5 linked regions of the Mus musculus genome follow. The protein of the gene in region 4 interacts with the protein of the main gene of each other region in a biochemical or structural test. Links are inferred from orthologs where the notes say so. Each region holds a gene or a part of one and is shown on either strand. Other genes may lie near its edges.

Evidence for each region.
Region 1: the proteins of Uba6 (region 4) and Ube2d3 form a complex in vitro, tested with the Homo sapiens proteins (2 studies listed by BioGRID, with this or other methods). The link is inferred for Mus musculus from reciprocal best matches to the Homo sapiens genes UBA6 and UBE2D3.
Region 2: of the proteins of Uba6 (region 4) and Ube2d2a, one has a biochemical effect on the other in vitro, tested with the Homo sapiens proteins (7 studies listed by BioGRID, with this or other methods). The link is inferred for Mus musculus from reciprocal best matches to the Homo sapiens genes UBA6 and UBE2D2.
Region 3: the proteins of Uba6 (region 4) and Ube2g2 form a complex in vitro, tested with the Homo sapiens proteins (2 studies listed by BioGRID, with this or other methods). The link is inferred for Mus musculus from reciprocal best matches to the Homo sapiens genes UBA6 and UBE2G2.
Region 5: the proteins of Uba6 (region 4) and Ube2t form a complex in vitro, tested with the Homo sapiens proteins (2 studies listed by BioGRID, with this or other methods). The link is inferred for Mus musculus from reciprocal best matches to the Homo sapiens genes UBA6 and UBE2T.

The regions. Positions count from the first base shown.
Region 1 is NC_000069.6:135,437,740-135,441,925, forward strand, and holds the start of Ube2d3 (ubiquitin-conjugating enzyme E2 D3), read left to right. Parts: upstream 1-1,386; 5' UTR 1,387-2,035; coding exon 2,036-2,059; intron 2,060-4,186. UniProt on the Homo sapiens protein: Accepts ubiquitin from the E1 complex and catalyzes its covalent attachment to other proteins. In vitro catalyzes 'Lys-11'-, as well as 'Lys-48'-linked polyubiquitination.
Region 2 is NC_000084.6:35,797,399-35,803,561, reverse strand, and holds part of Ube2d2a (ubiquitin-conjugating enzyme E2 D2), read right to left. Parts: intron 3,722-6,163; coding exon 3,690-3,721; intron 3,611-3,689; coding exon 3,533-3,610; intron 3,453-3,532; coding exon 3,347-3,452; intron 2,289-3,346; coding exon 2,195-2,288; intron 1-2,194.
Region 3 is NC_000076.6:77,619,582-77,626,399, forward strand, and holds the start of Ube2g2 (ubiquitin-conjugating enzyme E2 G2), read left to right. Parts: upstream 1-2,739; 5' UTR 2,740-2,792; coding exon 2,793-2,835; intron 2,836-6,818. UniProt on the Homo sapiens protein: Accepts ubiquitin from the E1 complex and catalyzes its covalent attachment to other proteins. In vitro catalyzes 'Lys-48'-linked polyubiquitination. Involved in endoplasmic reticulum-associated degradation (ERAD).
Region 4 is NC_000071.6:86,136,821-86,142,983, reverse strand, and holds part of Uba6 (ubiquitin-like modifier-activating enzyme 6), read left to right. Parts: intron 1-511; coding exon 512-579; intron 580-1,357; coding exon 1,358-1,436; intron 1,437-2,547; coding exon 2,548-2,628; intron 2,629-5,089; coding exon 5,090-5,167; intron 5,168-6,163. UniProt on the Homo sapiens protein: Activates ubiquitin by first adenylating its C-terminal glycine residue with ATP, and thereafter linking this residue to the side chain of a cysteine residue in E1, yielding a ubiquitin-E1 thioester and free AMP.
Region 5 is NC_000067.6:134,960,129-134,966,979, forward strand, and holds the start of Ube2t (ubiquitin-conjugating enzyme E2 T), read left to right. Parts: upstream 1-2,436; 5' UTR 2,437-2,658; intron 2,659-6,851. UniProt on the Homo sapiens protein: Accepts ubiquitin from the E1 complex and catalyzes its covalent attachment to other proteins. Catalyzes monoubiquitination. Involved in mitomycin-C (MMC)-induced DNA repair.

The sequences.
Region 1 (4,186 bases), on a different chromosome or scaffold from region 4:
TAAGGCTCTACCCAATCCGATCACAATAAAGCTGTATTGTTAAGGCTATGCAAACGCAGAACCCTGCAGGCCGCTGCTCTCAGATTGGCCCCTCGGGGTTAACAACGCGCATGTGTCCGCACTTGGCGGTGCGATCAGCACTCAGCCTGGATCTTTTAATTTGCTGTTCCTAATTTGAGGGGAGCTTCTTCGCGCTGCTCAGCCCTCTCTGAGGAGCACGGGAAGAAATCTCCATCACCTGGGCCGGCAGAAGCCGTGAACCGGCTCCACCTTGACTAAGGCATCTAGTCACCCCGCGGCCCCGCCCACAGCACCTCCCCGATTGGACGCCCGGGGGAGGGCCGTGTCGGCGCGCGACGGCCGGCCGGTCGGGGGAATTCCATTTCCTCCCCCGCCCACTAGCATAAGCACTCAGGGGCGGTGCTTCCCTCGCAAGACCCGCCCAGTAAGAGCCCAGGGGGGGGGTTGCCGGCGCATCTCGCGATAACTTGCGGATTTGGGGGCGGGTCCCGAGCCAGGAAGAGAGCACAAAACTGCCCTTAAGTCATTGCAGACCCGGAGCTGCTGCGAGCCTGCCACGAGGTTCTCGCGAGATCCGCCACCTCCATCCCAAGTGAGGAAACGGGGGGCCACTCAGGGAGGGGCGTGGGGCCTCGACCGCGCAGCTGCCGCTTCCATTACCTTCCTCCTAAGGTCTCCTTCCGGTTCTCGATGCTTCTCTGAATTTAAGGGTTTCCGCCACTCGCCTACCCTCCCCCTCAGCCCATGACCCGCCTCCGTCCCCCGCCCTCCCGGCCCGACCTCCGATCGCTTTAGCGAGAAGGTGCTGTTCCGACAGGGAGACGGCAAGCGGGCGGCACGTCCACTCGGCCCGAGCGAGGGAAGCAAACCGCTCCCCCCTGAACCCCTCGGCTCGCCCCGCGCTCGCGACGGCGGCGTTGGCGGACGGATACGCGGCGGTGAATAGGCGGGGGGAGGGGCGGAGCGTGGCAGCTGGCAGTAGTTCCGTCAGAGCGGACATCTTGTGGCTGTGCCGTGCGCGTGAGCCCCGTAGGGCCGGGGAGGCACCAGCTGCCGCGCGGGGAGGAGGCCGAGGCCGCAGCTCGAGGGAGGCCCCGGCCCTCTGTACGCGTGGGTGTGGACAGCTCGGGAAAGGGGAGGGAGACGGGCCGGGGCCGGCGCGGTGCCCGGGGGGCTGTGGGCGGCCCGAGCGGGCAGCCCTCGCGGCTGGGTGGGGTAGGGTGGGGAGAGGCCGGCGGCGGAGCCGGGGCCCGGCCGCAGGGGGAGGGGGCATGGGCGCGTCCTCGCGCCGGAGCTCCGCGGCCGCCGGGCGCGTGGTGGCGAGGTGGCGGGCGAGCGAGCGGGCGGGCGCGCGCACGCAGGAGCGCGCTGCGAGGCGGAGAGTACGGTGGTGTCAGGGGCGACCCAGAACAGCCCTCGCCGTGGGGACGGGAGCGCACCCGGGGCCCATTGCCTTGTGCTGGCTCGCTGTCCCTTGGAGCCGAAACCGAAAGGAGCCCGGCGTCGGTCCGGAGCCGCCCGCTCCCCTCCCCCTTGCCTTTCTCTGCCCGAGTGACGCCGGCCTAGCGCCGACTAGGCCCCGGCTCCTCCTCTGCCCGGCTCTGGACCCTGCCCCGCACCCACCCCTTTCTCCTCCGCCTCTTCCTCTCCCACCCGGGGCTCGTCTTCCTTTCAAGAGGCCGGGAAGTTAAACTTGTAACCACCTCTCGGCGCTTCCCGTCACCCTCTCGCCCTCTCTGGGGCGAAGCGCGGATCTCGGTAGCTGGTGGCTCCGCCACCCCGCCCCGCCCTGCCGGGATCGCGGCGGTTTTCAGGGTTCTGGAGTCAGCAGGGTTTCTCCGAGGCCCTGGCGAGTCGCTGACCTGCTCCGTTTTTGCAAAAAGGCGCCTGTGTCTGGCAGAGCCGGTGTGAGAAGAAGAGACAACCCTTCCCCGCCGCCGGGATAATCAAGAATTTTGGCCGGACCTTTGAGTACACCTCGGGATAGTGAGGAGCCCGGCGAAAAGCACAGACTATGGCGCTGAAACGGATTAATAAGGTGAGCAGTTTGGACTAAATGGTGCGGACAGGGTTGTGGGAAGAAAGGAGGCTTGGGGCCCAGAGGAAAAAAAGCGTGGGTCTGGTGGTGGATACAATTCTGAAAATACCTTTTCTTGGGTTAAGGAAAGGCAGGTGCACTTTGAAATGAGCTGTAAGATAGGGAACTGAATGGTTTGGGTAAGCGAAATGTTAGCTTTTTTCACTAGAATCTGTAAGTATGGGTGAGGGAGCGTGGCTATTAGGCTCCTCGGTTTTTTGCCTAAGAGTCAGGTTTGGGAAGTAGAATTGTGTACAGGCCCTCGGCTAATGTCATGGTGCTGCTTCCTAGTCTTGGTTCTTCAAAACTTATTACAGCTGCTAAGGCTTATTGGCATTCAAAAGAAAGGAATGTAACAGATGAAAAACGTTTTGTTCCAAACTTGACTGAGAGTCTGGGTATGACAAACATACCTCAGTTCGCTAAAATGTGGTGACGAAGTCTGTTCAGAAGCTTAACCAAATCTGGGCAGTTACACAAGAGTAAGTAGGGTTGGGAGGAGGTGGACCGACACTGTTGCCACTTCCTGTGTTGTGTGGTCGCTGCTCTCACCCGAAGCTATTTATCTGAGGCACTGGGAACCCTGTAAAAGCCTTCTGAAAGATCCTGGGGGGAGTGGGGGTTGACAGTGCAGGGAAACTGGATGGGGAGACTGTTTTTGCTTAAAACCCATCTTTAAGGAGGCTTGTTTGAGCAAATCGATATAGTTTGATAAGTTGTCAATTTAAGTTGGCAAGAACTAGAATTTTTTTCAGAAATATTTTGCGAGTGGATCCACCTCTCCGGTGGTTTAGTCTCATTTTCTTGCTCTAACTTCTATCCCGCATTTTAAGATGGCGGCTGCTTTAACTGGCTCGGGTTCTTTCCGGCATCTCCTTTTCTAACTATTTAAGATAATGTTCTCTGTTAGCGTTAAACGTTTTTTTATTCTGTTGTAGGGAGCTCTCACAGCCTCTGCCCCCAAGACTTAACCTAAATTCAAACTCTCAGACTAAGTTTCTGTGCGTGTGTGTGTGTGTGTGTGTGTGTGTGTGTGTGTGTGTTTTGTATTTGGTTCTTTCACAATCGAGAGGGTGGAGTATTTACAGCTAACTTGAAAAAAATGTTGTGCAGAATAAACTCAGTCTTAATAGAAAAGACAAAATGGGAAGGTTCGGTATTAGAAACTTTGGCTTAGTAACACAGTTTTTAAAGAGTTCTGTGGAAAGGAAGGCAAGGACTTAAAATGACTGGTAGGATCTAATACTACTTTATTTGTAGTTATTTAGTATGTATAACTTGATCAGTTTGATTGGAAAAGCTGTTCATGAAGTTAAGTCTAACCTGTATATATTGATGTTGAAATCTTAAATTCTGTCTCTGGGTAATCTTTGTAGTTTTATGCAAAACACTTAACTGTTTGTATTCTTGATGATAATGCAAAGAGAAAGAAAACCTTAGTATTCAAGACTTCAAATAGATAATAGAAGTTAACATTAAAATTATCACTTAGTGTGACAGTTTTGAGGGTCAACCTCACTTTTTAGAGATGCATTGTTGTGCTTTGCAGCATAACTAATATGGAGACTATAACATTCAGTGCTAATCAAAATTCAGATCTATAGCTTCTTATAAGTGTAAAACAGAACATTTTAAAGGGAGGTCTTACTGATTTTTTTCTTTTACAGGTGATACCCAGCTGCTCTGGCACCATTTTAATGACTTAAAAGCTCTAGCAAGGCAGTAATGGTTAAGTGTAAACATTTGTAGTAAAATAACATGAGATAGAATCAGGCTCTAAGCAAGTTTATCCATTTGCCTAATCTATACCAGGAATTTTTCTATATACTGGGATGGCAAGGGAAAACAGATTTTACAAGTTTAAAGAATTATGTATTGATACTTCACAGGTAAATTTTCTTATATTCGAAAACTTGATGTACCAAATGGCTGATTCAACCTGATTTCAAGCATATCGGGTTTTTTTCCTTCAGATATTGTCAGAATCATGAGGCTGCTTAAAAAACAAAAAAAAGCACCCAAATGCTGGCATAATTTTTGAAAGGCTACTTCTCTAAAAATAAGGGGCCAGTTAGACACTGTCATGAG
Region 2 (6,163 bases), on a different chromosome or scaffold from region 4:
AGGGGATCTGACACCCTCATACAGACATACATGCAGGTAAAAGATTAATGTACATAAAATAACTCAGAGATCGCCTGTCTCTGCTTCCAGGCAATAAATTTTATTTTAATTTTTAAAAAAGGTTTATTTATTTCATGTATGTGAGTACATTGTTGCTGCCTTCAGACACACCAGAAGAGGGCATCAGGTCCCATTACAGATGGTTGTGAGCCACCCACCATCCGGTTGCTGGGAATTGAACTCAGGACCCAGAAGAACACTCAGTGATCGTAACTGCTGAGCCATCTCTCCAGCCCATAAATTTTACTTTTTAATTTTTAAAAATTTTTTTTCAAGACAGGGTTTCACTGTGTAGCTCTGGCTGTCCTGGAACTCTGTAGACCAGGCTGGCCTCAAACTCAGAAATTCACTTGCTTCTGCCTCCCAAGTGCTGGGACTAAAGGTGTGCGCCACCACTGCCAGGTTAAGAAATTTTAAATTCAGCCAGAAACACGTGATTATTAATGGTACTCAGACATAAACAAAACAAAACTAAGAATTAGTGTCCAGTATTCCCTACTGCTGGTGTAGCTTCATTAAACACTAACATTAACAACAAAACCAAAAACATCTATGATTTCTCTGTTGTTTTTGACTTTGGGCCTTTTAAGATAGCTATCATCCTGTTGTTTAAGGTGGCCTCAAATTCATAGTCCTCCTGCCTCAATACTCTGCATATATATATGTGACTTTCTTTTCTTTCTTTTTTTCTTTTCCATGGAGACAGGGTCTCTCTATGTAGCCCTGGCTGTCCTGAAACTCACTATGTAGACCATGCTAGCCTTGACCTCATAGTCATCTGTCTGCCTTCCAAATACTGGAATTAAAAATAAAGACGTGCACCACAACAGCCCAGCTTGTATCTATGACTTTTTAATACAACAGATTCTAATCGTGTGTAACTTTTAATTAATTAACTAATTAATTAATTAGCTAATGAGAGACAGGATCTTAATCTGTCTCCACTTCACAAGAGCTGGAATCAAAGGTGCTGGCTACCACATTCAGCTAGTCTTTTATGTTTTTAACTCAAAATCTAGTTATGTATGGTGGGAAAGGTATAGTGGCATGTGCCCTTTTCCTGGGGTAAGAGGTGTTCAAGACAGGGTTTCTCCACATAGCCTCAGCTGTCTTTGAACTCAAAAGTCTGCCTTCTCCTCCCTCCTAAGTGCTGGGATTAAAGTCCTGTGCCATCACCAGCATGTGCCTTTAATCCCAGCATTGAGAGGCAGAGGCAGAAGGATCTTTCAGTTCCAGGCCAGCCTGAGCTACACAAGAAATGCTGTCTCAAAACAGCAGGGTTAGAGAGATGGCTAAATGGTTAAGAGCTGTGACTGTTCTTCCAGAGGTCCTAAGTTCAAATCCCAGCAACCACATGGTGGCTCACAACCATTTATAATAGGATCCAATGGCCTCTTCTGATGTGAAACAGCTACAGCGTACTCATAAATAAATAAATAAATCTTTAAGGGGGGCAGCCCCCCATATTCTATATAGTCCCGTCTTAATCTCATCAAGTAAGACACAAAAGCAAAAATGACTAGACCTCGAAGTCACTTGATATCATGATCATTCTTGAGTAAGTCATACAGTATACAGTTCTAAATGCCTAATTCTACATCAAAACTTGTTTTTAAAAGATTTGGCACCTTTATGCCAAATGGTAGTAAGGTCAATTATCTTTCTCATTAATTTACCAAACTATATGTAAGATAAATAAATGAGAACCTGATGTACAATAATTCACAAGTCTAAAACCAAACAAGACACAAAGGTATTAATAAGTACTGTAAGGAGAAGCTGGGCGTGGTGGCACATGCCTTTGATTCCAGCACTCGGGAGGCAGAGGCAGGTGGATTTCTGAGTTCGAGGCCAGCCTGGTCTACAAAGTGAGTTCCAGGACAGCCAGGGCTACACAGAGAAACCCTGTCTCGAAAAGTACTGCAAGAAAGGTTTTTAGTAGAAGTTACATTAGACAACTATATATATGAGATTAGTATCATCTGTTTATAATATATGATATAGAAACCTGTTTCATGTACCCCTCAGAGAGTTTATCTTAAACTTTTAGTCTATATTTAACTCTATAAGTAACAAGTTGTAAGGCAGCTCTATCCCATGCCTGAATGTTTTTTTATCTGGAGGTGATACTTACTTTTCTCTATCTGTTTTGTAGATCCGAGCAATCTCAGGCACTAAAGGATCATCTGGATTGGGATCACACAACAGAGAACAGATGGACAAAAGTACTGGGATAGTAAAAAAAAAAAAGAAAAAGAAAAAAGTATAGGTTAGTAGAAGACCACAGCAAAAGGCTTAAACATCAGAAGCTGGGCATGGTCTTTAATGGAAGCACTCAGGAGGCAGAGGCAGGGGAAAAGGTGGATATCTGCGAATTCAAGGCCAGCCACAGTGGTACAGTAAGACCCTGTTTCCAAGAGGAAAACAAACAAATCACCACCAAAAACCCAACCTGATATGCCAACCTGAGATAAGAATATAGAATTATGAATGCAGGTAGCTTAGTGGTGGAAAGCTTGCATAATGTGCATGAGGTTCTGCTCTGAAGAACAAAACAGCTCTTCTAAATCCTAGATTGAGAATACACATCAGCACTAGCGAACCTCAATTTTTAGAGGCTCATATTCAGAGAAAATCAGCTGTCAAATTTCCAACAGACAAGAGTAGTTGTCTGACACAATCAGTCATACAGAAACTTCAAGGATAATCTGGGGCCAGGCGTGGTGGCGCACACCTTTAGTCCCAGCACTCGGGAGGCAGAGGCAGGCGGATTTCTGAGTTCGAGGCCAGCCTGGTCTACAAAGTGAGTTCCAGGACAGCCAGGGCTACACAGAAAAACCCTGTCTTAAAAAAAAAAAGAAAAAAAGAAGATAGTCTGGGATATAGGAGATTGTCTCAAAAATAAAATAAGTTTTAACCAGGTACAGTAGCTCACACTTGTAATCCCAGCACTGTAGATGCTAAGGCCATCCTGAACTACAGAGTAAGACCCTGTCTTAAAACAAACAGATAAAAATCAAACAATCACATCATTCATTTTCTTTTAAACAAAACAAAACAAAAGCAAAAACAAAAAAGCCCCAGATAATCTTAAAAAGTTAAGCCAACAGAGAACAGTAACAAAGAGCAGTTACTTTCCCCTTTGAGACAGGGTCTCACTATACAGTGCTGGCACTCAGAGATCTGCTTGCCTTTGCCTCCACAGTGCTGGTATTAAAGGTGTGCTCCTCCATACCCTGCACAAAATCAGTTATTTCACCTTGTTATCAAACAACCATTCCATTACCTTTTGAAATAGTTAGTGCTGGAGACCACTGTGACCGTAGAATATCAAGACAAATGCTGCCATTACTGTTAATATTTGGGTGATAAATTCTTGTTGTAAATGCAACCTGAAGAAAAAGAAATCTTTGTGATTTGTTTACCAGTACCATACAGAGCATCTTAAGAGCAATGATCATATACCATTTACCTTAGGCGGTTTGAAGGGGTAATCTGTTGGGAAATGAATTGTCAAGAAAAATACTCCACCCTGATAGGGGCTGTCATTCTGTTGATGATAAAAAAGTGATATTAAAAATGGATAAATTACTTGAAACAATTATTAAGGAATTAAAGTGAATACTTACTGGCCCCATTATTGTAGCCTGCCAATGAAACACTGAAAAAGAAGAAAAAAGGGTCACCATGTTAATTAACAATATTCACATTACACCTACGATAGAGAAACCTATCATTTCCTATATCTAATCAAAGTTTATTTATAAATAGCATGATAACGACTAGTTTCAATGGGCAGGATGAAGACTAAACCAATTGAGTCCAAACCATTAAAAGAAAAAGGAAGGAAGGAAGGAAAAAAACCAGATAGACAGAGACAGAGTGAGACAGACAGACAGACAAGTGAGCAGGGTGTGGCAGTGACTGCCTTTAATCCCAGCACTTGGGAGGCAGAGGTAGGTAGATTTCTGAGGCCAGCCTGGTCTACAGAATGAGTTCCAGGACAGCCAGGGCTACACAGAGAAACCCTGTCTCAAAAAAACAAAAAACAAAACAAACAAACAACAACAACAACAACAAAACAAAACCAAAAAACCAACAACAAAATGTAAGCAAGACACCGTGACATTTACATTTAATCTTAGTACTTGGGAGGCAGAGGTAGAAGGATCTCTTTGACTACAGAGTGAGTGAATGCCAGACCAGTCCAAGCTGCCTCCAAATAAGTAATGAAAATAAATTATGATCTCTTGTGGGTTTTTAGAGTTTCCAGTATATCCTTCAATACAGAGCTGGGGGGACATGAAGCATTTGCCTGGCATATGTTACTCTGGGCTGGATCCTCAACCTTACTTTAAAATACAAACACACAAAACACAAATTTGTTCATAAGCTATAGCGATAATTTCAAAGTACTCAATAAAGTAACTACCTATAAAAGCAGTAAATATTTGTCTCATTTCTAAAGTGGGCTTACTCAATACAGAGACAGAGAACAAAAGAGTTTGTAAGGAAAATCCAGTCAATATCTACACCAGAGAGAGACACTGCCAGTATGAGTTTATCTACATCACCCAACCAAGCTAACTCTTGTCACACGGGATTAAACTGTTAAGAGTACAGCTACACAAAAATTTATTGGGATGTATAAAAACTAAAGGTCCTTCAAACTTCTTCAATACGTAATTGTTTATGGTTTCTTTTACTAGGCCCCAAACTCACCATTAGCAGCTCATTTATCAGAAAAACATATCTAGAGTCACCATACACATTTTAGAAGGCATCAAACGAAAACAGTGGTTAGATGCCATAAAGTAAGTAAGTAGAAATGCCTCTATGCAGGCAGATTTCTGAGTTCAAGGCCAGTCTGGTCTACAGAGTGAGTTCCAGGTCAGCCAGGGCTATACAAAGAAACCCTGTCTCGAAAAACAAAACAAAACAAACAAACAAACAAACAAACAAACCCAGGAGAGTCAGATGGGCATTGTTCTCAGCACTAAAGAGGAAGAGATACAGAGGTCCAACCTCATCTGCACACACAGTTGAGACCCTGCCTCAAACCAAACACCTAAAACATACATACATACATACATACATACATACATACATACATACATACATACATTTGAACAAACAAAACTCCAAAACCAATTAACTCTAGAGCCTCTACTAGGTAGTAATGATCAAATGGGCAACTAGATCTCTTTTAAGTCTTGTCCTTCAACCTAATCCTTTCATATTCAATTTAAATCTATTGTACTGTCAGTTTCTAAAAATCAGATTAAAATAATAATAATTAAATAATAATTTCAAAATATTGAGGTTTCAAGTATAAAATTTTCTAGTAGCTAAGTACTAATTCTTTGTTTCTAGTCTTCTGACAGCAATCATTTATTCTTGCTAAAAAAAAACTTACTAAACTTAAGAAGAACTTAAGCCGATGTTGTGGCTAAATGGTAGAAGGTTTGGCAGGTGTGAGGCTATAGATTCAACCTCTACTATTGCACACACAGAAAGAAGGGAGAAAAGGAGGCTGGAGAGATGGCTCAGTGGTTAAGAGCACTGACTGCTCTTCCAGAAGTCTTGAGTTCAATTCCCAGCAACCACATGGTGGCTCACAACCATCTGTAATGGGATCTAATGCCCTCTTCTGGTATGCATGAAGACAGCTACAGTGGACTCATATAAATAAAATAAATTAAAAACATTTTTTTGAAATGTGGGTATTGCATACACGTTCCACAGTGTATGGAAGAATGGTGGTCAGAGTACAACTTTCAGAGTCAGTTCACACCTACAACCACAGGTTTAGAGATCAAACTCAGTAAGTGCTTTCTTTTAACCCACTGAGCATCTTACTGGTCCTACTTCTGAGAATCTTTACTACCAACAGCAGTAAGAATACTCACTAGAATCACTAACAGGTTTTCCTCTGGAGTCTTATTATACTTCTTGTTCTCTTTAGGTGGAAATATGAGCGAGGTAAACAGTGATATAATATCTAATCCTGATTCAAAAGACGAAGTCTAAGAAATTCCTAGAGGTTTCAAGTAGAAAGAACTCTAGAAATAGTTACTGGCAAAATATGAACCTATCCAACACA
Region 3 (6,818 bases), on a different chromosome or scaffold from region 4:
TGTAGCAAAATTACAGTTATGAAGTAATAGCAAATATAATCTTACGGTTGGGAGTTACCATAACATGAGGAACTGTGTTAAAGGTTAAAGCATTAGGAAGATTGAGAACCACTGCTTTAGAGTATAGAGTAAGGTGTTTTTAAAGACAAAACAAAAAAACAAAAAACAAAACAAAAAACCCCACATTCTGATAACTCAGCAGTTTGCAAGGAGAAGTTCTGTGCAAGTGAGCAGTTTAAAGGCAGTTAGCTGGAGGGAGTTCTGCACAAGCTTTAATAGAAGCTAAGCTGGGGCATCTTGACCTCAAGTTCCTAGAATAGAGTTGAATAACTGTTTATGGGGCTTCCCAATCAGAGAGATCAGATTCTAGTTAAGCCGAACATGGCCTCAGCAAGGATCCAAGATGGAGGAAACTGCACTGCGTTGCCCTGCCACAGGATGTGACGTGAAATGGTTACCACCAAGTTTCTGATATGTTCGATGTTCACCTCTGGGATAAAGCACCCTGAGCAGTCTAGGCTACCTGCATTTCTTGGTGTTCTGGTCTTCCAAATTCCCCCCAGAGTCGTCCTCTTAGCCCTGCTCACAGCAATCTGAGAGTTCTCTAGCTCCCAGCTCTGAACCTGTTTTCCACTTTTCTCCTTAAAACTAGCTCTGGGGCTGGGACTGGAGAGATGGCTCAGCGGTTAAGAGCACTGACTGCTCTTCCAGAGGTCCTGAGTTCAAATCCCAGCAACCACAGGGTGGCACACAACCATCTGTAATGGGATCTGACACCCTCTCCTGGTGTGTCAGAAAACAGCTACAGTGTACTTATAATAAGTCTTTTGGCCAGCAGTGCAGAGTTGACCAGTGGGGTTGACTGGAGCAAGCAGAGGTCCTAAAAATTCAATTCCCAACAACCACGTGAAGGCTCACAACCTTCTGTACAGCTACAATGTACTCACATTAAATAAATAAATAGATCTTTTTTTTTTTTTTCGGCCATAGTGTACTCATAAAAATCTTTAAAACAAAACCAAACTAGCTCTGAAGCTCATGGTCAGGCTCATCCCAGGGATGGCCTCAGTTCATGGTACTACTTTACAAGTTTGTTTTCTTGCTGATGGGATCAATACCCGACACACAGAAGTTAATTTTGCCTTGGGGTTGGAGGGGATACCGTCTATCATGGCGGCAGGTGGCTCCAAGGCGGCAGCAGTGTGTGACAGCTGCTTACTCACCGGGTAGCTGACTGGGAAGCAGAGAGAACTAGAAACTAAGCTAATCCTAATCTCAAAATTCACCCCTATCCAGCTAGTGGAGGTTCCACCCTGACCAGCAAACATGTGGGCACGACTCACATTCAAACTGTCGCAGGGAATCGGGGCTGCCACATCATTTGGATGTGTTAGACTAACTTATGCTTCTACAGGCAACAGCAGGAGGAGCAGTGTGTCCTCGAGGCCTCCTTTTGACTTGTGGGTGGGGCATGCTTGGGAGGGTTATGCGTGTGGGATTTTTTTTTTTTTTAACCTTACATGTAATTGGAGTAGCATCCTAATATTTTTTTTCTTTCTCAAGATAGGGTTTCTCTGTGTAGCCCTGGCTGTCCTGGAACTCACTCAGTTGACCAGGCTGGTCTCGAACTCAGAAATCGGCCTGCCTCTGCCTCCCAAGTGCTGGGATTAAAGGTGTGCACCACCACTGCCTGGCTCTAATATATTTTTTTAAAAGATTTATTTATTGTATGTAAGTACACTGTAGCTGTCTTCAGACACCAGAAGAGGGAATTAGATCTCGTGACAAATGGTTGTGAGCCACCATGTGGTTGTTGGGATTTGAACTCAGGACCTCCAGAAGAGCAGTCAGTGCTCTTAACCGCTGAGCCATCTCTTCAGCCCCCTTAATATTCTTTTTTAAAACGACAAATGTGATGAATCTAATGCCTCAAATCTTTTGAGTTCAGCTTCTTATACTCAGGGTCCCAGCAGGAACTTTCTCTTTGTCCCTACACCTAGTCCTGAAAGCCCCTTTTTTCGGAGAGCCACGTCCCGAGCTGTATCCCTCATGTCCACTTAGCGAAGGCAGTGGTGCACCTAAGAAAATACCAAGCATCTATCTGGCAGTTCCGTATGATGAGGAAGTACAGCTTACTTGGCAGAGTCTGAGTTTTTTTGGCCAGAGAGGATGGGATATGGCCCGGGAACTTTATCCTTCCTTTGTGAAACCAAGGTACTCTTTCTCTTGCTAGAAGTGTCATCTCAAATCACCTGGGCCTCAAAAACCAGGTGTAGTGGCACTTGGGAGACAGAGGTAGGCAGGTGGCATCTCTGTGAATTCGAGGCCGGCCTGGGCTAAATAATGAGTTCTAGGACATTCATGCCTACAAGGGGAAAGTTTCACGATCTGGACAGCCACTTCTGAGGGGCGAGCCCAAGCGCAAGGACATGAGTCTCATTCAGGAACAATCCATGATGAGCCATTAGCTCTCGCACTATTTTTCAAGACTAAAGGGCCGCAGGGCGAGCTGCGCAAAGCCTCACGGCGGCGTAGGAAACCTTCAATGCTGAGGGTGTGGCCGGCCGAGAAGATTCTGGAAGCCGAGCTCCGTCGACCCGGGCCATTACCCGGGGAGCGCGAGGCGAACCCCAGCGAGCCTGTCTGAAGCACCCGGGTGCGCCACGTCACCCGCGCGCGCCCCGGATGCATTTGCGCCCGGAGCCCGCGACCCGGAAGCAGTCGTGGGCGTCGGAGCGGGCGGGCGGGACCGGCGCGGATGTGGCGAGGCTGCTGAACGCAGGTTCCGCGGTATGGCGGGGACGGCGTTGAAGAGGCTGATGGCCGAGTATAAGCGTGAGTCAGGCGGCGCCGCCTTCCTGTCCTCTTCCCCATAGTCGCCCGCGGCGTGGCCCGGCATGGCTCGGCTCGGTGCGGTGCGGTGCGGGGGTACTGGGCCGGGCTGCGAGATTCCGCGTGCGGATAAAAGGCCAGGCTGTCGCCGTCACCTGCGCACCCCAGCCAGCGGCAGCGGGGCTGGCCCTGGGCTCAGAAGCCGGCCGGGGCAGCGCCGCCGTGGCCCTGCCACCCGGGTCTGGTCCCTAAGCCCCTGTGTGCTGCGCATCTGCCCTCCCGACAGTTGATGCTGCGGGGCGAGTACCGGGTAATCCCCGTAAGGTGGTCGAGCCGTCGAGGGGAGTTGGGGGAGAAAGTTAAAAATAAACAAGATAACGCCTCAAACCCCCGGCCACGCCGCAGGTGCGAGTTGCTGGGGAAAACCAAAGTTTCTCGGACACGGGCTCCGGACAGTTTCCTTGGATCCGGATCTGTTTTTCTCTCTGTTTTACTTTTTCAGCTCTGTGTCTAGATTGAGACACATCCCCTTTATCTAAAAAAGAGGGAACAGCATTTAAGCTCCGGGACAGGGGTTTAAGTTTTGACCACTTCTACCCAAGGGTATTCACATTAGAGAAAAACTTATCCGCCACAAAAAGCCTCTACTCGTACGTCAGACAAAACGTATTGTCACTTAATTTGAAGTTAAGGTTGTGAATCATCTCCGTGTGAGAGAGAGAAGGAATTTGGTTAAAGAGGGAACTCTAAAATAGGAAGGCTGGCGAGGGGCTCAGGGGGTTCACAGAGGAGAAGGACTCCACCTGCTGTGGCTTCTTGGAAGAGGAAAAAAAAGGGCAGGGAGCTAAGGGTGGCCCCAGGCTGACAGCTAGTCTGGGACCAGTGTTACAGCCATACGGAACTGAGTTGTGCCAGCGACTTGAATGGACTTGGGTTGCAGCCCTGAAACAACCAGCTGTCTCGGCTGGGCCCAAGCCCACATGGAAACCATGAGGTCATCAATGGATATTGTTTAAGCCTGTGGCAGCAGTGATGGAAATGCATCCAGCAGTACAAAGCACGAGGAGCGAGGGAGGGAGGGAGGTTTTTTCCGTGTCCTTGTGAATTCAATAAAAGTCCCACTGAGTGTTTTTCTTCCTTTATGGTATAAAAGGTTTGTCCTCTGTTTAAGACCATGTACTCTAGTATTAGGTAGATTCAACAGGAACATCCAGGTTGAATTAGAACATCCGAGGTTGGGCTAGAGCGAAGGTGTTCTTGCATACCTGATTGTACTGTAGATTTAGAGGCGATATGACCTTGAGTGTGGTTCATTGTCTAACTTTTTTTTAATGTGTTTTTTATGTGTATTTTTATGAGTATTTTGATTACACATAGGTAAGTGTGTCATATGTGTGCCTGTGCCAGTGGATGTCAGAAGATGACATCAGATCCCCAGGGACTGGAGTTACAGCTGGTTGTGAGTCTTTGTGTGGGTGCTGAACTAGAACCTGGATCTTCTGCAAGAGCAACAAAATCTATGAGTCATCTCTTCATCCCTATTGTTTTTCAGGCTCCTTGTTTTTCTTTTATAGCAGTTGAATAACAGATATAAAACGATTAGACTGTGGTCATATCACAAAAAGAGCCAAGCGAAGACCTTAGACTGCTCCCAAGTGCAGTGTCCTGTGCACGCAGAGGCGGATATTGAATGTCCCACTCTGTCGCTCACTCTCCACCCTCTTCTCTTGAGACCAGGCCTGTCATTGAACCTGGAGCTCATCAATTCAGCTAGAATGGCCAGCCAGTTAGCCCCAGACATCTTCCTGTTTCCTCCCTTGCCTCCAACTCTGGGGCTACAGGCACCCATGGTAAATAAAGCCTGCCTCTTTTTCATACGGGTGCCAATACTCGAACCTGGTTCCTCTGTAAGAACAGTGTGTGTTCTTGTGTCCTTGTCATATGTTTCCACAGCTTTTCTTCTTACTGTGACAGACAAGGGAACAGTGGTCCAGGGCTGTTGTAACATTGTCACCACTCAGATACCATAACAGACAGCATCTCATGGTTTGGAGATAGAATTAGAAGCCCACTTGTGGCCTGGGCTGTCACCCTAGGCAGGGTGGGCTTTTGGGGAAGGTCCTTCCTCCCTCTCAGCTCTAGAGTGCTGGCTACTGCGGGTTACTTAGCTGTGCTAGTGTAAGTCCTTCCTCTCCTGTACCTTCCTGTGGCCATCTGAGCCTGGGTGTGTCGGTATTCAGATTTTTCCACTTGAAATGTCAACAGTCACTGGCTTAGGGCCCAGCCTAGTCAGAATGTTCTGTATTTAATTCTGGTACATCTGCTGAGACTGTTTCCAGACAGTGTCACAGTTCCCACATTGGGGTAGACTTGAGATTGTTTTACAATGACAGCTGTTTTTGTGTATTTGTGGGTGGGCAGGCGAGTGCCACTGTGCATGTGCAGAAGTTAGGACAACTGACAAGGGTCACATCTCCCTTCTGTGTGGAGCCTGGGAATTTCGAGCTTGGCCTGTCAGACGAGGCAGGAGGTGTCTCTGCCCACCAAGGCAGCACGTCAGAGTAGGGGCGTGAACCAGAGCAGAGCTGTTCACCTAAGGCCAGACACGGGAGAAGTAGAAAGGCTGGGTCCCTGCATTCCCCTTAAGGATCTGCTCTCAGTGCCTCCCCTGCTTGTTGCCTGGCCATGCTGCTGCTCCCTGCTATGATGCACTGCCTTTTCATAAGCAGGCATTCTCTCATCTCAGGTGACTTTCCTCAGGCACTTTGTTACAGTGATGGCCAGCTGAATAACTCGGTGTCCATGATACCCTGCTTGCAGAGCAGAGCAGGACAGTGACCTAGAGTCTTCATCTTCCCAGCACCACCAAGAGTTAGCGACATACCGAGTTGTCATTCTTTCTCTTTCTATTGCCGTTCTGTCTCTGGACACTGTGTGGTTTTCGTTTGTCTGTCTTAATAGAAGTTGTACAGTGTATATATATATATATATATATATATGTGTGTGTGTGTGTGTGTGTGTGTGTGTGTGTGTGTGTGTGTTCTTTGCTTTGCCCTGGGAGCTCTTACCAGCCTTGTGTCAGTTTCCTTTCTCTTGAAGCTTGTGACGGCAGCCTCCTCTCCTTGCTCAGTGGATTTCTCTTTATGAACAAGCCAGCATCCCTCTGTTCTGCTCCTGGCAGACACTGAAGTTACTTGCAGTTTGACTCTTAGAAGTACTGTGAGCAGATTTGAAAATCTCCTGGTGGACATGTGCAGGTTTGCATTGGAAGCATAATTTAGAGCCGTGCCGCATCTGTGTGAGCAGCCGGCGTTACAAGATATGCTGACCTGTTGGTCACTGTGGCTCTTCTGGTGTGTGTGTCATGGCCACCACAGCTGAGTTAAGTGTGTGCTACTGCTCAGGCTTTTCACTCATACGTTATCCTTGGGGTCTTCACCTTGTCTGGTAGGTGTTAGATGGCATCCTGGTGGCTTGAACTGTATGTTAGTGATTGCAAGTGAGGCAGCGGGATCCTTTCACATACACAAAAGGCCATCTCTGCCTTTTCTGCCAAACGTCTGCCTCTGGCAGGCTTTACACAGCGCTGACTTTTTCTCGCTGGACTGTAGGATCCTGTATGTTTGAGTGTGTCACATCCATGCTGTGAATAATAGCATCCTTGGAGTGCCCCGCCCTGCCCTGGGACTGCTCTGTCCCTTCTCCCCCCTGCCCCTCCTAGGTAGCACCGATTTGCTTTCACTCACTGGAGTCTTGGTGCGCCCTTCTTCGGGCCTCTGCACTCAGCACAGTTGTGCTGAGCTTGTCTGTGCTGCAGTGTACCCTTACCCTTCCAGCAGCAAGTGATGAAATAGAACGGGCAGTTACAGCTGTTGTGTAAAAGTCCTGGCAGGGCTCAGCAGGGTGGAGTGAGATTCCACTATAGTTCTCTGAGTCGCCATTGAAAATATATTGGTTGTTTACTTCTGGGAATTTCCACTGATATT
Region 4 (6,163 bases):
ATGCATAAGACTTCTTTAATTATTACCGAGTTAAAGAAATTCTTTTCAGAACTAAAAATGTTGAAGCTGTCTTCCTGGATCTTGTCTTTTATAATTATATATGAGGTAAAAGATGACATAAAATATCTCCAGTAGGAAATACACTCTACATACTTTTTTTCAAGCTAATCATACTGTTTATTCAAATGTAACTAAAATTGAATGGGAACTCCAAAGTTTTTTTGTAGTTATGAACAGATTTTGAGGTAAAATTTCCTCTAAATATTAAAAAAAAATAATAAAATTATCCTTAGGATTGATAAGTGATATGAATTAAATTACATACCTTTAACAGTCCTTTTAGGTTTCTCAGTTTTAAGAATATATGTTATAACCATGATTTTTCTAATACTTTACATTGAATTGCCATTTTTATTATCTTCCACGATTATTAAATAACTATAAGAGAAAAGCTGCAGGGTTTTTTTAGTGACTTAAGTCTTAATCGTTATGTTTTTAATCTTGTCTTCAGTTGTACCTTGAAGCAGCAGATACTGTGGAATCCCTAGGCAATCCTGGGCATGAAGAGTTTCTCCCACGGTAAAGCTGAAACTTGGATTATTTTTTTCTTAGTATCTCTTTAAGAAGCAGAGATAGAACAATTTTGTGTAAGCATTCCTCTCTTAGGTGTCTTTCCTCCTGACATTTTACTTCTTGGTTTGTTACTTCTTTGCCTAGTGATTAAATATTGCAGTAGTACTATGTCTTTTTACCACTTTATATGTAGTGATACAGATTTTCGGCTTATATACATGAGAGTGGTTAGCATTCAAAAGCCATAATATTAATGAATAAGATTGCTATACATGATTTTTTTAAAAATAAGTCTCTTTCCATTTGAGGCCATAAATTCAAAATCAGTTAAAACTTTAGAGATTTCATTATCTCAGAAAACCACAGAACCCAGAGTTCTGCCTTCAGTGTAAATGAATTAATAACTCCAAATCCCTTCTGTAGATTCCTCTAAAAACTTTTTTTAAATATTATGATCTTTATAATTTTTTTCTTAAATACAATAGTCCCTCTTTATCTGCAGTTTAACTTTCTCAGATTTTAGTTGCATGTAAATTATCGAAAAGTACAAAAATGGAAAAGTACAGAAATAAACTATTGATAAATTTAAATTACATATACTTGGGTACAAAGTGATAACATCACACGCTGTCCTTCCTGGGATGGGAATCATCCTTCTGTCTGTCCATTAATCCTTTAGAAGCTCAGAAGTATATTCTGTTTTAAAGTACAATATTAAATTGTTACTAACAATAATCAATAGTATTTTTATATCTTTCTGTTTTCTTGGTAAATGTTTTTTCAGAGGAGATAGATATGATGCCATACGTGCCTGCATTGGAAATACATTGTGTCAGAAGCTACAAAATTTGAATATCTTCTTAGTAAGTGTGAATGAAGATGGGAATAAGTAACATGTTCAAAATGTTGTTGAATGTCAAGTTAATTTTTAAAGTCAACTTGATGTAAATGAGTAACTGATAAATCATACAATCTCCAGAGCTTAATATGTTTACTTCCTGGTCCTCCTACGTAAAACTTAGTCAATTTAGGATCTGAAGAGTATTCATTTCAAAATAAAGCATGAATGTAACAGCTTTCAACATTAAATGGTTTTCTAGAAGTACTTTAAAAACACATTTTTTGAAACTACATTTAAAAATGAGTAAATGTATTCTCTTTTTTTAAATATCTTAGTTTATTTTGAGAGAAAATTTTCACAAGAGCATAAATGTTGTTGGCTAGTCTTAAAAATACTACTTTTAGTAATCATAATTTTGTTTATTTGTTTTTGTTTTTCGAGACAGGGTTTCTCTGTAGCCCTGGCTGTCCTGAAACTTACTCTGTAGACCAGGCTGGCCTCAAACTCAGAAATCTGCCTGCCTCTGCCTCCCAAGTGCTGGGATTAAAGGAGTGCGCCACCACTGCCCGGCAGTAATCATTTTTGTAAAGTAATATCTTAAAGATTAGCAATTACTGCTGAGATTTTTTTTTTCATATAGATAGAATATAATCAGGTTTCAAATATCTGTTTTACTTAAAATTCTTTGTAGACTTGTCTTAAACATATCTCTGTCTTTCAGATAGACTGACAAGTGTCTAAAAGTAAAGACTTTTTCATGTTACCTAGTTCCAGGCTCGGGTTGTTCTTATGTTTTTTTTTTTTTTTTTTGCTTTTTCTTCTGTTACTGTTTTCTTTTCTCTATAAGAAATAAGTTCAGCATTTAGCTTTTGTTAGGAATCTTCAATTATTTTTGTTTGAAGAAGTTATAAATACCATAGTTTTCTTATTTGTTTTATACTTTTTTTCTTTAATTGAGACACTTAAAAGGCATTATGAAACTTGTAAAAAGTAAAGTCCACCACAAGTCAGTCACAAATCATTTTTTAAAATTGTATTTAGTGTTATAGCATTTGATGAAAATTAGAATGAAATTCTTTATTCATTAAAAATTATAGTATTGTTGTCTGACATTTGTACTCTTTCTTCAATAGGTAGGATGTGGTGCCATAGGCTGTGAAATGTTAAAAAATTTTGCATTACTGGGTGTTGGTACAGGCAGAGAGAAAGGAATGGTAAGATACAAGTCACTTGAGACTTAAACATTTATATTTCTCCTGTTGCCCATTTTTGAACTGTGTTTAACTATACTAGCCTGTTTTACTTGGTGTAGACCATTAAACTGAGAATTAGAAGATTTTAATTGTCTCTGGTCAGTTTTTAGTCCCAGATTCTCTGCTTCTTGGTTCTTTTTTTGGTTCCTTTTTTTTTTTTTTTTGGATTTTCAAGACAGGGTTTCTCTGTATAGCCCTGGCTGTCCTGGAACTCACTTTGTAGACCAGGCTGGCCTCGAATTCAGAAATCCGCCTGCCTCTGCCTCCTGAGTGCTGGGATCAAAGGTGTGCGCCACCATGCCCGGCCGCTTCTTGGTTCTTAACTGTAATTTCCTGAAATAAGTCCTGTCTCTCTTTTTGTAGTTACCATCAATTATTAAATTTGAAAGGAACTTTTATTATCATAGCTTACAAACTGAAAACCATGTTATTCTTTTGTTACATTATTCATTCTTAAATATTAACATGAGAAATGACATTAACAAGCTGCAGAGTGCTCAGATAATTTAAATGGTGAGTTTCAAATAGTGAGAATAACACATACTTTGGTATGCAGTTAAAATTCTTCACCCTGAGTTATTACAAAACCGTGTCATATTTAAAATAACTTTTATTAGTGGTATTTTACCTTTAAGATTAAAAACTTTCATTAATGACTTCATATATTTATCTTGGTAACTAACAGTGACACTGCATAAATAACTAAAGTGAATATGGTAATCCACATTGTAGCCTTGATATAGTTTTAAAAGGGATTTATTATTATAGCTGTAGGTAGGTACACATAGCCATGCTTGGCATTTCTAAACTGTGCTCCACAAACTATGAGTCTAGTAGCTTAAAAGTTACTTGGATTTTTCTTGTGTAAAATCGCTTCTTTACTGTAAGCTTGGGATTACCTGAATGTTTTAACTGTATAGAAGAACAGTGCTTTTAGTAGGTAAAGGTCAGGATGAGCTGAAGTAAAGACTGTAATGTGGGCAGGCTTCTGTCATTCTGAACACAGAGACTTGTAACAAAACTTTAAGTGTTCATAGATACACCCAAGATGTAAAGAGAAATCCCCAGGTACCTAGAATCAAGGGGGAAAAAATGAAACCTTGAATTAAACACTAGATACAATTTTTTTCTCTATTTTTAATGTCTAAAGCTTTTAAGTAGAAAAGAAAGACACTCACTAGAAAGTAAGACTGTTAACCAGCACCCCGCAAGAGAGAGGGGGAGGGAGGGAGAGAGAGGGAGAGAGAATGAGAGAGAGAGAGAGAGAGAGAGAGAGAGAGAGAGAGAGAGAAACATAAAATTCCACAAAAATGTAGACACATACACAAGGAAAATTGCTAAAAGAAAATGAATGTGAACACCAGTCAACACCTCAAACTGGAACCTGCACTGAGCAGTACTATGCCATTTTTTTTAATTCTAGCTTAATAGCACAGGGGTTTTCAATTCTGCAGATTATGTTACCTGTTTGCTTTCTTCTTTCACTTTCCAGAAATAGGATCTATACATTCTTTTTTTTTTTTTTTTTTTTTTTTTTTTTTTTTTTAAAGATTTATTTATTTATTATATGTAAGTACACTGTAGCTGTCTTCAGACACTCCAGAAGAGGGCGTCAGATCTTGTTACAGATGGTTATGAGCCACCATGTGGTTGCTGGGATTTGAACTCCTGACCTTCGGGAGAGCAGTCGGGTGCTCTTACCCACTGAGCCATCTCACCAGCCCAATCTATACATTCTTAAAGGGCAAGTGTTTTAGGCCTCTAAATCAACTATCTATGATAGCTAGTTGGCTATACAAAAACTACTGGAACTGCCTAGTAGTTTATAAATTCAGCCTTAGTTGGACTCCTGTCAAGTTGAAACATGACAACATTCTTCTCAAATTATTTCAGATTAAGAATATATATTGGGCTAGCAAGGTGGCTTATCAGGTAAAGGCACTTGCCATTAAACCTGATTTAGTTTGATCCCCAGAACCCACCCATGGAAGGAGACAAAGGACTTTTACAAAGTTGTTGTTTGAGTTCCACATTTATGCTATGGGCACATATTCCTCCACACACATACACAATAGTTAGGAAATAATAAATAATTTTTAAAAGAATGAATGTCATAAATTTAGAAGAGATAGTTCCTCTGTAATTCATTTTTTAGGTATAAAAGATGATAGGGATAGTTTTAGTCTCCAAATAAAGAATTTTTAAAGGGAGTTTCTAATAAGCTTAAATCATTTGTGTTATTTGCTATGATCATGCACTAAATATTAGTTGAAATTAATAAATTTAACAATGATACCATATTACTGGTAACATTGGGAATTTTTTAAAATGACTATTACTAGCAAAAATGCTTTGAGAGTGCTGTTTCTGTCATAGTGAGAAATGCAAAATAGATTCATTTGTTTTATTCTCCTGTTATAAGGTAACAGTTACAGATCCTGACTTGATAGAAAAATCCAATTTAAACAGACAGTTCCTGTTTCGTCCTCATCACATACAGGTTTGTCACTGTTTTTTTATCATAAACAGATATTGGTTGCGGGGTAATCCTGTTCTTTGTTAGATCCTTAAGAGAAAGAATAAAGATTCTTTGGAAAGAACAAAATGAAGAAAATAATGATCTTTCATGTACACTAAAATTGGTTTTTGGATGTTACTATTTGAATCATGACATGAGTAGTACTTTTCATTTTGTAATCACAGAAATTTGTTTCCATAAACAAATTCTCTAATTCGAGGTTTTAACAAAGCACAAATTTTAACACTACTTTTTTGGGTTTTTTTGTTTCTTTGTTTGTTTGTTGTTTGTTTTGCTATAAAACAGGTAAGGTTTAGTATTTAAAAATTGCTGTACACTATTTAGTCGTCTCAAACCAAAATATTTAAATCCGGAAAAGAAACAGACAGTACACTCAAAGGCAGAGGCAGGTGGATCTCTTAAGTTCCAGGCCAGCTTGTTCTACACAGTGAGTATTATTAGTCATAGTTACATGGTAAAACTGCAGTGAAAAACAAGCCGGGCAGTGGTGGTACAAGCCTTTAATCCCAGCTCTTGGGAGGCAGAGGCAGGCGGATTTCTGAGTTCATGGCCAGCCTGGTCTACAGAGTGAGTTCCAGGACAGCCAGGGCCACACAGAGAAACCCTGTCTCGAAAAACCAAAAAAGAAAGACAGAAAAGAAGAATATGTTCATCAAAACCACGTGCTTTTAGTTTAAATTTTTCCCTTGTATTGTCAACTCATTGTCGATTTTAGGAAATGAAATTTAAGCATGTTATGAACTAAAAAGTGGCTACACTGTCATAGTTAACCTGATAGCCTCTCGCATAACTACAAAGGATGTGGCAGCAGTCTCTATGAACTCAGATGTCTTATTAAAATGATTCACTGTGTAGTATCTGGAGATGAACACTAAGACCTATTTATTAATTTCCTGACTTGTAAGTTTCTGACTTTGTTCTTATAGTAAAAAGTAAAACATGTTAGCCTAATAGTGA
Region 5 (6,851 bases), on a different chromosome or scaffold from region 4:
ATGTGCTTCTGGATCTGTGAGAGACCCTCTCCTCAGGGAATAGGTTATAGAGAAATAGAGGAAGATCCCCACCATGACGGACTCAGAAGAGCTACCAAGGTGCATCTGCTTACCTACACACTCAGGTAGACACAACCCACACATACCACACACTACACTCATCCACTGAATAAATAACTGGGCCAATCCAGATTTTTATCAAGTAATAATTTTCCATATTCATACTTTAATTGCAACATTAGAACACTCTACTTTTAAAGATAATGACAAGCTTGCCATGGTGGCACATGTTTATAATCCTAACACTTAGAAGACAGAGGCAAGAGGATTGGGAGTTCAAGTCTGGCCTTGAGGTCAGCTTGAGCTATATGGGACCTTGCCTCAAATGAACAAAATAAAATAAATAGTGATGATACCTAGGCAGGAGGATTGTTGTGAGTTTGAGGACAGCCTGGGGTTTAGAATGAGGCCTTTGCCAAAAAGAAAAAAAAATCCTAAATTAGGGTACACACATTTGAGCCAAGAACTTGGTAGGCAAAGGCAGACAGATCTCTATGAGGCCGGCCTGGTCTAAATAGCTCCTGGCCAACTAGGGCTGCATCGCGAGACCCTGTCTCAAAAAGAAACCCTAAATTAATTAATTAAAAGTTTAAAAATAACATTTAGAGCACTCTTGTTGGCCTCTATTCCCACCAGTTAACATACCTCCCTCTGGTGGACAAATGGAAACTGTGTCGATAGAATGGGACCCTTTCTCTCTCTGTCTTTTCCCTCCTTTCCTTTGATCCAACTCATTACGGTCTGTGCTATTTCTAAGAGACATTTTTAACTCTGTGTTTTTCAAAGAACCATCCAAGGAAGTTTCTATTTCAAGACAGGACTAATACGGTCACTGTCGGAGTAGGGACAAGAAAAGATGCTGAGGAGATTAGATATCATTAGATAGTATGAATGGCAGTAGTAAAATAAGCAGTAATCCCAAATGGTAAGCGAAAACACTTCACTGCAACAAAGAAATCCTAACCATGAATACAGAACCGCAACAGCAGACTGAAAAGCACGTCAGACTGTTGCATGACTATCGTTCAGAAGTCTGTAAGTTTGCAGAATTCACTATCTACCCTCTGGCTCAGTCCTACAACTAAATTGGGGAAGCCCAGAGCAGAGTCAGTCAGAGTCCTAATGAGTCTGAGGGTCTCCAGAAGACAAAACACACCATAAAAACCTCCATGAGGAACCAGCTGTAGCTTAACATCAGTTTGGACTAAATGCAGACATCACCGCGGTAGCCAAAATTATATTAGCTTCGAAGTTCAGAAAGACCGACTGCTAGGTCTATGCTATGGAGCTGTACAAAAAGCTAGGAGCAGTGAAAGAGAAAGGTGATTCCTTGATTGATTTCTGGTCCCACCCCCAGGGTTCCCAGAGTTGAAACCAATTCCAGTTCTGCTGAGTCTCAGGTCTTAAGCTTTCCTTTCTCTCCCAAGGACTACCCACTTTTGGCACTCGCAGCTGTGCCCTCAAAGCTGACTTGGCTATAATCATGCACTTGGTTGCTTAGAAAATACCTTTCTAGAGGTGGAAGAGCGCTTGAAAGTCATTTATTCCGTGGTTGGTGTGTGACTCAAAGGGATCAAAGGCTGGCACAGTATGTAGGAAGAGCGGGCTTGTTTTCAGGGAGAGGGAGGGGGAAATCCTTAACTTCCTCACAGTGCAGAGGATCTCTTGCGTTAACCCCTAACAGGTTGAAGCTTCCATATGAACATTTCCAGTGGTGGAGAAATTTACTCCATCCACTTTACTCTTCAGAGTCCTGATGGAATGCTTTGTTCACCAGAATTATAAATTAAAAAAAAAAATCTTTTTTCATCTGGAGGAAATCTATGTACCCAAGGCTGGTCTCAAATTCTCACCTTTTTATTTCAACATGCCTGCGCGACCGTGCTCGGCTAACTTGTATCTTTAGACTACTGATCTTAAATGAAGTTGTAAAGTTTCCCCTGTCATTGCTTAAAGCCTGGGTGACCTGGTAGCCATTGGGAAGCTGCGTAGGAGTGCCAGGAGTCTCAGGCTAGCCTGAGCTACATAGCAAATTCCAAGCTAAGCAAGGGTTGCATCGCGAGACCCCGTTCCACAGAACCACAACAAAGATATAAAGGCAGCTACTCAGCAGTCACTTCTCCAGATTAAGCGTGTCCAGTTGCCTTTTTTTTTTCCTCTCCTGTAGATGACTTCCCAGCCTTCCCAGCTCACAGTCGATTTACAAACAAGACCACAGCGGGAACTGAGAATTCCGGATACGCGTGCGCGCGCCAATTTGAGCGGTGCGTGAGCGGACGCAAGCTCTGAGCGGTGGCCAATAGGCGGGCGCGCGCCTCCCCCAGGTTTGCTGCGGACCAATCACAGTCCTCTCCTGGAAGGGGGTGGAGTCATTCCAACGGTCTCCGCGGTTCCGCGTGAGCACAGCAGAGGCGCGCCGCGGTAAGTGGGGCTGCTGACGGGTGCTGCGAGTGCCACCTGAGGGAACGAGCCCGAGGTCACGGAGAGTCTGGGGAAGGAGTCCCGTTTCTACCCGAGCGGCCCTGGGAGGAACACGGCGGGGAGAGCGAACCGCCCTGGGCGCGCCAAGGCTACCTCCAGCATCTGCCACCTACCCAGGTTCTGTGCATTGATTATTTATTTACCTCAGGCCTGGGACACAAAGAATTTTACGAAGAGTCAGTGCAGTTGTAAAAAGCTTACGTTTGCGGGGAGTGGTTACTGGAAAAGAGGCTAACAACGCCGGTTTAAAAAAAATTAAAAGGAAAATATCTTTTGAAGCCGTAGTGTAAGGAACTCTGTTATGGTTGTTTGGTTGAGGGTTTCGTTTTGTTTGTGAGACAGGTGTCGCTGTAGCCCAGGCTGACCTGGAACTGACTTCTACCTAGGCGCCTCCAGTGTCTATGCCCCCAAGCCCCGGCTCTGTGAAAACCCTTTATATTCATAAAATACATGATAACACATGGCTTTTATACCAAAGGACTTTTTAATTTTTTATTTACTTTTCTTGTATATGAGTGTTTGTCTGCATGTATGTATACACACCACGGGTATGCCTGGTGCCCTCGGAGGCACAGGACGGTGTTAGTTATGAGATGTCAGATGGATGTTGGGAATTGAATCTGGGTCCTCTGGAAGAGCTGCCAGTGCTCTTAACAGCTAAGCCATCTCTCACCCGAGAAGACTTTGTATATACCAATTGTTATCATAGTCTCATGGCTTCTTTGAGAGAAACTGCCTTTTTCCCCCTCGTTCTAATTTGATTAGCATGCCTTTCCACTATGTTCTTATTTTATATAAAGATACAGTTTACAGTTGTAGGTAGTTTTATTGTAATTGATTGCCCAAAGACAACTTTGAGGAGAGCGTTCTCTCCTACTGTGGATTGCTGGGATTGAATCAAGTTGTCAGGCCTGTGCAGCAAGGGCTTTAACCCGCTGAACTGTTTTTCTAGTCCCCTGTATTTACAAGAGTTTTGTTTCGTTTTACTGAAAATAGTCCTTCAGATTTCTGTATAAAATAGCAATGCTTTGGCTGAACAAGTCATGGGGAGAAAGTCAGTAAGCAGCAGCCCTCTGTGGCCTCTGCATCAGCTCCTGCCTCCAGGTTCCTGTCCTGTTTAAGTTCCTGGCCTGCCTTCTTCCTTCAGCAGTATACTGTGATGTAGAAGTGTAAGCCAAATACTGCCCCCCCACCCAACACACACAATGCTTCCCTCACCCCACCCCCAATAACAAGGCTTCATTAGGCTTAAAACGATAGAGGCTGAGCACATGGCTTAAATCCCAGCAGAGGCGAGCAAATCTTTAAGTTTGAGGTCAGCCTGGTCTACAAATTGAGTTCCAGGACAACTAGGGCTACAAAAAGAAACCCTATCTTAGAGAGACAGAGAGAGTTAAGAATCAAAACACTGTAAATTAAGTTATTAAGTTATTTTGAGATTTTTCTCTGGTATGGAAGGGGAGTCAAAGGACCCGTTAATTTTATTTTTATGTTGTATTATGAATGTTTTGCATACATGCATGTATGTGCACCACATACATGGTTATGAGACACCATATGAGTGTTGGGGATCAAACCCAGGTCCTCTGCAAAAACAGCAAATGCTCTTAATCAGTGGCCCTGCTCCAGCACCCTCTTATTTTTATTTTATTTTTATTTTTCTGACAGGATCTTATATGTACCCCTGGCTGGTCTAGAATTTGCCTTGTAGACCAGGCTGGTATAGAATTTTCAGTAGTCCTCCCCTTTATTTGGGGGGGGGGTAATGGGGTGTAGCTGAGGAGATATTTTGTTTTGCATTTAATAATTAGATTTTTGTATATATAATCAATACATTTTTTTATTTCATTATTATTATGTGTATGTGTCACAGTACAGCAAATGTGGGAAGGTCAAAGGACAAGTTAACAAGAGTTATTTGTCTTCTCTCTCCCCTAACCAAGTGCTGGGATTATACTCATGCACCTTCTCACACCACTTTTTTATTTTAATTTATTTATTTATTATAGCTCTCTCTGGCCTCACTCTCTCCAAAGATTGATTGATTATATTGATTATATGTAAGTACACTGTAGCTGTCTTCAGAGGCACCACAAGAGAGCATCAGATCTCATTATGGATGGTTGTGAGCCACCATGTGGTTGCTGGGATTTGAACTCAGGACCTTCAGAAGAGCAGTCAGTGCTCTTAACTTCTGAGCCATCTCTCAGCCCCCCTCACACCACTTTTTATGTGGTTTCTGAATTAAACTCAGGTCTGCAAAATATATATCAAGCATTTTAACAACTGGATTGTCTCCCTTTTTAAGCACACATAGGACATTCTGAGCAAGACTCAACAGTTTTAAAGGATATAAATAATATGTCAGAAACCAATAACACAGTCAGAAACCAATAAACAGGACTGGGCGTGATGGACTTTTAGTATACAGGGTTGGGGGGTTGTTGTCGCTGAGGCAGAAGAATATGGGACCGGATTTGGGTTTTTTTTTTTTTGTTTTTTGGGTTTTTTTTTTTTTGACAGGGTTTCCTCAGTGTATCCCTGGCTGCCCTGGAATTCACTCTGTAGACCAGGCTGACCTCAAACTCAGAAATTCGCCTGGCTCTGCCTCCCAAGTGCTGGGATTAAAGGTGTGCACCACCATGCCTGGCCAAGCCCAACTCTTATAAAAGGAAAACATTTCATTGGGGCTGGTTTACAGTTTCAGAGGTTCAGTCCATTATCCTGATGGCATCATCATGCAGGCAGACTTAGTGCTGGAAGAGCCGAGAATTCTACATCTTGATCCGAAGGCAGCAGTGGGAGAGTCTTCTGCAGGTAGCCAAGAGGAGACTGGAATTCCACACTAGGTGGAGCTTAAGCATTGGAGACCTCAAAACCCACTCCCACAGTGACACACTTCCTTCAACAAAGCCACACCACCTAATAGTGCCATTTCCTGAGAGCCAAGCATTCAAACACAAGAGCCTGTGGAGGCCAAAGCTATTCATACCACTACAGGGTGAGATGGTTAATATTGTCAACTGAAGTATAGGCTATAGAATCATCTAGGAGACAGACTTCTGGGCCTGTCTGTAAAGGACATACCTAGATTGACTTAGTTAAGGTGGGAAGAGTAACCATAAATATAGGTGGGATCAAACAGACAGTGGTCCCAGACTGAGTAAAAAGAAAAACGTGGCTGCCTGACTGAAGCAGGTGCAGGGTGACCAGCTGCCTCCTAGTCCTGCAGTCTTGCCAGCTCCACTACCCTGGACTGTATCCCCGGACTATGAGCCAAAATAGACACTACCTTTTCTTGAGTCTCCTGTGTCATGGATTTTGTTATAGCAAGGAGAAAACTGACTAATACAGAGGAACACCACCCTGTGGCCCAGGCTGACCTCAGACTTAGAGTAATCCTCCTCCTTCAGTTTGCTTTAAGTACACAAGTTCTCATACACTACTGGCCTCAAACTATATAGTCATGGATGGCAGTGTGTTGCTGATCTTCCTGCCTCAGCCTTCCAATTGATGAGATTATTGTTGTGTCCTGCCCATGCCCAGCATAATATGTGCAATATCACCTAGTGACTGGTTTGCTCTGCAGCCCTCTCCTACCCCTCACATACATCTAGTAGTGCAGGGTCTTGCTCATACTAGGCAAATGTTCTTCCGCTAAGTTATATCCCCAGCCCCTGAACTGAAGACAATTTACATTAAAAATGAAATAAGCTAAGGTAACTGGAACATTAGGGTTTGATTCAGAATATCCAAGCTGATGAATGGAACAAATCTGGAAGACTCAACAGATCCACATGTTTGAAAGTTAATTTATGATAATATTAGAAGATTTGGAGTTTCCTTTTTTTTCTTCTTTTTTTTAATGGTGCTAGGACAGTTGGTTACTCATTTGTGTGTTGGGGGGGATTAAAGTTGGACCTTCTACCCCTTACTACGCACAAAAAACAGTTACTGATAGCCAAAATATTTAAGTAAAAAGAACAAAATTTTGTTTTTTAGTTATTTTTATTTTATGTGTTTGGCCTGCATGTATGTCTATGTACCACATGCATGCCTGGCACCTGAGGTTTTATGGGTGGTTGTGAGCTGCCACATGGGTGCTGGGAATCAAACCCAGGTCCTCTGGAAGAGCAACCAGTGGTTATAACCACTGGACCATCTCTCCAGCCCAAAAGTTATGTTTTTTTTTTAATGTAAAGAATATGTAGGAAAACAACTTTAAATGTGAGAGTATGGGAAAGATTTTAAATGGATTAACATTAAGAATATATTCATTAGCTGGACTTGACCCAGACTTCTAATCCCAA